Arabidopsis thaliana: one gene and its partner. The protein of the gene in region 1 interacts with the protein of each later gene in a pairwise test. Each region holds a gene or a part of one and is shown on either strand. Other genes may lie near its edges.

What was found. The genes of interacting proteins can lie anywhere in the genome.
Region 2: the proteins of NAC024 (region 1) and AT5G08630 interact in a two-hybrid assay, tested with the Arabidopsis thaliana proteins (one large-scale study listed by BioGRID).

Annotation. Positions count from the first base shown.
Region 1 is NC_003070.9:22,240,719-22,244,337, reverse strand, and holds NAC024 (NAC domain containing protein 24), read left to right. Parts: upstream 1-2,102; coding exon 2,103-3,065; downstream 3,066-3,619. Other genes in the region: AT1G60360 (RING/U-box superfamily protein), read left to right, coding at 607-1,590.
Region 2 is NC_003076.8:2,801,009-2,804,764, reverse strand, and holds the start of AT5G08630 (DDT domain-containing protein), read left to right. Parts: upstream 1-1,593; 5' UTR 1,594-1,778; exon of another isoform or gene 1,779-2,087; intron 2,088-2,605; 5' UTR 2,606-2,626; coding exon 2,627-2,739; intron 2,740-2,968; coding exon 2,969-3,141; intron 3,142-3,376; coding exon 3,377-3,756. Other genes in the region: FLS1 (flavonol synthase 1), read right to left, coding at 1-218, 290-756.

The sequences.
Region 1 (3,619 bases):
AAAGCAAAAGGCAGAGAGATATGGTCTTCATTTCAACTCGTGTTCCAATTTTTATCTATGCTTTGTGATATTGATATGCCTTTGCTCTTGGACAATATTTTCTCTCATTAGTCTCCCAACTATGTATGTATTAATCAATGGAGACTATGGCAGTAAAATATAGGGTCTTCATATCAACACGTTTTCCAATTTCTAAATGCTCAATTGAGTGCATAAAGATGGAATTAAAAATCAATTACTAATTCTTCTAATTTGAAACTACTAATTCTAAAAGAAAACTATTTATGTTAATTCTAAAACTGAAAATGATCCTTCATAACCACCATAATAATTCAGTATGCCCAATATTCGTTAACGGTCCAGGCCTTAGAAAAATAAATGGATTCGAGAAATGATTCTAGCCTTTAGCTAGAGGTAATCTTAAAAGCATAGAAAACTAGAAAAAATGAGCATTGCTTCTTCATCCATCTCAAGCTTTGCCTCAAAGAAACCAAGACCTATATTTGAAAAGAATCTGCCCTTTTCAATTGCCTCATGCAACCCTCAACGTTATCTATAAATGTTGTAAATGTTTATATGTCTTGTGTATAACAATTCCTTCCAACAATGTCATTGAGTCAGCCAATAACACGGACCGATAGTGCACCCAATGGAGCATTTAGGACTTTTGGTCTCTACTGGTGCTACCATTGTGATCGTATGGTCAGAATTGCATCCTCTAACCCATCAGAGATCGCCTGTCCTCGATGTTTGAGGCAATTTGTCGTTGAGATTGAAACGAGACAACGGCCTCGGTTTACTTTCAACCATGCTACTCCGCCTTTTGATGCTTCTCCTGAGGCTCGTCTTCTCGAAGCTCTCTCGCTCATGTTTGAGCCTGCAACCATAGGTAGGTTTGGTGCAGACCCATTTCTTAGGGCAAGATCCAGAAACATCTTGGAACCTGAATCAAGACCCCGACCGCAACATCGAAGACGACACAGCCTTGACAATGTTAACAATGGTGGTTTACCTCTACCAAGAAGAACATATGTTATTCTCCGGCCCAATAATCCGACTAGTCCACTCGGAAACATAATTGCGCCACCAAATCAAGCACCACCACGGCATGTGAACTCACATGATTACTTTACTGGAGCATCAAGCTTAGAGCAGCTGATTGAACAACTAACACAAGACGATAGGCCTGGACCACCACCTGCGTCAGAACCCACCATTAATTCCCTACCATCTGTGAAAATAACACCACAACATCTAACTAACGACATGTCCCAATGCACAGTGTGCATGGAAGAATTCATTGTTGGTGGGGACGCAACGGAATTACCATGTAAACATATTTACCATAAAGATTGTATAGTCCCGTGGCTTAGGCTTAACAATTCTTGCCCTATCTGCCGCCGTGACCTGCCACTTGTCAACACCGTTGCTGAATCTCGAGAAAGGAGCAATCCTATTAGACAAGACATGCCTGAAAGAAGGCGTCCAAGGTGGATGCAACTCGGTAACATTTGGCCATTTAGAGCAAGATACCAAAGGGTTAGTCCAGAAGAAACAGCAAACCAGAATCCTCGAGATAACAGGAGCTAACTCTGAATATTCCATGGGAAATAAAAATCGTGACTATCTATATGTATAGACTCTATGAGACATTGTCTATTTGAATGTGCATGTATATCTCAGAAATAAACTCAAGCGAAACATATTTAACGACTAGAGAAAGCCCTACCAAGCCCATAGCGATAAGAAGGACTTGCATGCTATAACAAAAATAATTAGTGGAAAAAGACTGTAACCTTGAGTAAACTAAACTTCTCTCTCAAATCTTACTGCAGTTCTGTCTTAGTGGTCTTACTGTAACATCCTTTAGTTTCTTGAACCCATCCATTAAAGAGGGAAATAAAGTTGCGAAATAAAGAGAGATCATCAAGAGTCAATTGGTCACCACGAAAATTATAAATAACGGTCGCTACTAACTTAAAAGCACATTTATTCTCTACTCTCTTCCTATTCGCTTCGTCTCCAAGAAACAAACACTCATTCTTGCGTTTGATCTTTCTTTCTCTAGATCCCATATTTTTCTTGATCAATTTAGTTTCATTATGGAGGAAGATGCAGCTTTTGATCTACTCAAAGCCGAACTCTTAAACGCAGAAGACGATGCAATAATCTCACGTTATCTGAAGCGTATGGTCGTCAACGGAGACTCATGGCCTGATCACTTCATCGAAGACGCAGACGTGTTCAACAAGAATCCAAATGTGGAGTTCGATGCTGAGAGCCCTAGCTTCGTGATAGTTAAACCTCGAACAGAGGCTTGTGGTAAAACCGATGGATGTGAAACTGGTTGCTGGAGGATCATGGGTCGTGATAAACCGATAAAATCGACGGAGACTGTGAAGATTCAAGGGTTCAAGAAGATTCTCAAGTTCTGCCTAAAGAGGAAACCTAGAGGATACAAGAGAAGTTGGGTAATGGAAGAGTATAGGCTTACCAATAACTTGAACTGGAAGCAAGATCATGTGATTTGCAAGATTCGGTTTATGTTTGAAGCTGAAATCAGTTTCTTGCTAGCCAAGCATTTCTACACTACATCAGAATCACTTCCTCGAAATGAGCTGTTGCCAGCTTACGGATTCCTTTCATCAGATAAGCAATTGGAGGATGTATCTTATCCGGTGACGATAATGACTTCTGAAGGAAACGATTGGCCTAGCTACGTTACCAACAATGTGTATTGTCTGCATCCATTGGAGCTCGTTGATCTTCAAGATCGGATGTTTAATGATTACGGAACCTGCATCTTCGCTAACAAGACTTGTGGTAAAACCGATAGATGCATTAATGGTGGTTACTGGAAAATTTTGCACCGTGATAGGCTGATCAAGTCAAAGTCCGGGATAGTTATTGGTTTCAAGAAGGTGTTTAAGTTTCATGAAACGGAGAAAGAAAGATACTTCTGTGGTGGAGAAGATGTGAAGGTAACTTGGACTCTAGAAGAGTATAGGCTTAGCGTGAAGCAGAATAAATTCTTGTGCGTTATCAAGTTTACTTATGATAACTAAGAATCTTTTCTTTGGATTTTATGATCATCTTAGTATCTTGAGGACATTCTCTTTAAAACATATATCGATAGTCTTTGTGTTTATATTTCTCTGTTCAATATGATTTAGAGACTAGTGTGCTTTTTTCTCTCTTTCATGTGGTTTGTGATTGTGAGAGGAGAGGCTTTTTTGTCGCTGCAATATTTTAAACCCAAAATAACACTAATCGCATGTAAACAATCGATATTAGCAGCAATCACAAACATCAGAGACAAATTGAGCCTTATGTAACCAAACATGTACATATGATTCGACAACAACCTACATGTTTCTGAATCAGCAACCCGAACAATCTATAAATTAAATGAAGATCAATTAAATTGACATGTTTTTTTATCTGCTAAGCAGAGATTGTTGTTGTGTTGATTTCTCGTGTATATGCACATGTAGCCTTTTTGGTTGCCAGAGACTTAAGAGAGAAAGAATATTTTCCTCTGTTTTAAGAAATATTCAAAGAATGCCATGGACTAGGATATAAAATGCCATGGTCTAATATGATCCGTTTTAACATTATA
Region 2 (3,756 bases), on another chromosome or scaffold:
GAGTGATTCCACTGAGATCTGTATGAGCCGGTACACCTAAAGCTAAATCCGGCCGAGGACACGGCGGATAATAGTTAATCTTCATCATATACTCCGCCATCTCTCCGCCGAGACCTTCTTTCAACGCATCACGCTTTAACCCTAATCCATCCGAGAGAATCCCTAATAACGTCTCCGATAGCTTCTTCACATGCACTGCATACTCTTCATTCACCTCCCTAATACATTAAACCAACGGTTAACTTCGGTTTACAAAATTTGAATTTTTGATGATTCTGTTTTGGTTTACCTGTATTCAGGTGGATTCTTAGGCCAGAATCTGTAATTGACGCATGACGGTGGCCAGATTCGATGGAAGAGATGATCGACCCAAGCTTTTTTACCTTCTGGATCTTTCTGAAGCTTTGTTCCGTATCCTTCAATGTCTTTCGAATCTTCCGGTTTAGCGACGGATTCTTTCTCCGACGAAGGAAGCTCGAAGAATTTTCTTCCGACGTCTTGTAAACGTCGTATCAGCTCCGTCGGAATCCCGTGGTTAACCACTTGGAATAGCCCCCATTCTTCACTCGCTTTCACCACCGCGCGCCTCACGCTTTCTTCGTCGGGATCGCTTAGATCGACGACGGGAATCGCCGGCGTTGGACCTCGGAATGTTGTGATCGCTGGTTGTTCTTTCTCTGATCTGATGAACTCCAACGGGATTGCTTCTGTTAGTAGAGAAGAAGATGAAATGTCTTGGACTCTTTCGACCTCCATTATTTTTTTTGGTAGTTTGCGTTGCCGGAAACAATGGCGGATATGTAATTTGGGGGATGGTGTTACGAGTGGTTTTAAGGAGGGAGGAAGTGAGGACGTGGCGAAATCTTGGCCGCTGGATAGAGACAACTACCACATAAAGTACGTGTTGATATGTGTAAGTCGTCGAGGCTTCGTCACTCACGAGTTTGGTACCAAGTTTTGATAGATTTATGGATGAAGAATTTAATTAATTTGATTTGTTGTTTTGTGGTGGTAGTTTTAAGAAAAGGAAAAAAGTGATGTTATTATATTTTAGGCCATAAAATACCATATTTGAAATAGATATTTTAGTACATATTTTTGGCGGGTGTTCATGTAAACACAAATAAATATCATCTTGAGTCGTTGACAAAAACAAAAACAAAAACAACAAACTTTGGTTGGCCATTCTAATTACTGTAAAGATTTTCTTCTGCATTTCGATTGGTCCATGAATTTTACACAGGAAACATTATTTAATGACTTGGTTTCTAGAGTGGGTTATTTGAAGTTTTCTTTTTTTGGTCAAACATCATTTGGAATTTAATCAAATAATAATGGTGGAGAGTTAAGGCTTTACCATTTTAAATCGTAAGCAATGAATAAAATACTGGTTTCAAATCCAACCCCATTTAAAGCTAAAGATTCAAGGCCCATATAACAAGACAAGGCCCAGTTATTGGGCTACTATAGAAAAAGGAAAAACTACAGTATAGGGCTCTAAAACAGCAACACCTGTATAAACAAAAAAAGGAAACCGAGTGCTACTTAAGATATAAAATAACAAAAAAAAGGTGAGAGGCTAATTCGCATATTAAGTTTTTTTTCCCGTCTTTCCCATAAGGAAGGACGACGACCAAAAAGAGCTGAGAGCGAGAGAGAGAGAGAGAGAGCGAAGAGAAAAACGAAGAGAGACGGTGAGATCTCAACACTTGTATTCTTTCCTTGAGAGACCACCTCTCTCTCTCGACGACGCGCATTCCCAATTTCATACATTCTCCGTAAGATTTTTGATTGAGTCTCTCTAATTTCGTTGTTTATAATTCTCTCCAATCGTTTTCTTTGTTGTGGCGGGAACATCGATCCTCTTTTCTTCTGCGATTTTGCTTTCTTCGTTGTGATTTCGTTGCATTAGCTTCGAATTTTCGTTCCGTTTTGTTTGTTATTGATGATTGTGTTCGTCTCTTCTTTGTTACATGTGTTGTTATGCTTTTTTGACTGCTTTTTGTGTGTTTTACTTGTCCGTTTCGCCTTCTGGATTCTCCGAAAGTGGCGCATGATAGTGCTTTCTTTTTCTCGATCTCTCTTGGGTATGTGTTTTGATTCCTCGGTTTCGTTTTGGTTCCTTTGCTCTCAAGTGTCAATTTTGTCCCATGGTTTCAGATCTTTTCTAATTTCGATTGGGATTGCGATTTTTCTAGGGTTTAGTGCTATCTCGGTTTCTTCTGCATTGCTTTTCTTAACATTTTTCATTGGCTTTTCTTTTTTGCACATGATCTCACAAGTACCACTTGCTTTTCCATAGGCTCTGTCGAATTCAGTAGAAATTAGAATCAGCTCTAGGCTTGCATGCAATCATTTGCATTCTGTGCCACAAATTTGTACGTTTGCTAAGTTTTACTTGACCGTTGTGTCACCTTAAACGCCTTATGGGTTGATTTTCTGTTCTCCATGGTTTACATTTTCCGCTTTGGAACAACTGTGACGTCTTGCTTTTGTATACAATTCCCTTCTTGCTTGGATGACCTGGTTCTACATTTACTAGGATTTCACATTAGTGAATATGAGAATCACTTATATAGACCATTCATTTTTGTCTACACTGCAGGTTGGTTTTGCCATTTGAAGGATGCCTCTACTAAAAAAGAAGTCACATAAACTACTGGAGCCCCCAAAGAACTTGGAGCCTCAAGAACTTGTCTATCAAGTTCGTCTAACAAATGAGATCTTTCGAGATTATCAGTATCCTTATTCTGTAACTGTTACAATTTTAAGACTTATGTTTTGAATATTTGCCTTCTCCTTCTGTGTGCAGTTAGAGGAAAGAGAAATAAGCTTAAAACTTGTAATTCTGTTTGCCTGTTTCATTCTGGGACAACCTTTATTCATATTATTCTTCAAAGGCTTGGTTGTTCATGTTTATCAGTGCACATGCCGTGTCAGAACTATTTGTTTGCTTAACATAAAATAGATTGTACTTGAAGAGGTTAAATCTGTATCGCAACCGAGTTTGGACTTGTAAGTCTACTGGTAAAACTAGCTTGAGCTACGAGGAGGCCTTAGATTCAGAAAAACTGGCAGGCAAGAAGGTTCAAACTCTGCCCAGAGAGCTAGTTGCACCTGCTTTACGCATCATCCAATTCAGTAAGTTTTTAACTCCTTCATTGATTATTTTTATGTGATATAAGTGTGTCGAAGTCTTGATTTGCAGAGTGTCCAAGTCTTGATTTTACCTTTCTCGGTTTCTCTCTATAAGTTTTGCAAATCAGGACTACCTTTTTACCGTTTTGAATTTGTTTGTGTAAGATAATTTTCTTAATACTTGAAATCTCTGGTTTATGAGCATTATTTCTGACTCTTTTTCCTCCATTTTGAAAAGGTACGCTTTCATTGAAAGATCTTGCTGACAAAATAGCGACAGAGTTGCAAGATTGCTTTTTCCCTGGCGCAGAGTTGTATGGGGAAAGGGATGGGGAACTGCATCCTTGCAAAATCTTGAGGATAGTATCAGATGGGGATAGTAAACCTCAGTATGAGGTAGGCTTCCTTGACAAAAACAAGGAAGTAGATGATAACACAGTGCTCTTTGGGGAGGATCTGTCATGGAAGAAGTTTCCATTTAGTAGAAATTTTCTGAAGTCCTTCATTCGAGATTCCACATGCCACAGTATACCTTGGGTAGTAAATGATTACCTGGCTAAAGCACATGAAATCACGAGAAAGATTCCCAAGGAACTTCAGAACAAATATGTCTTTCAG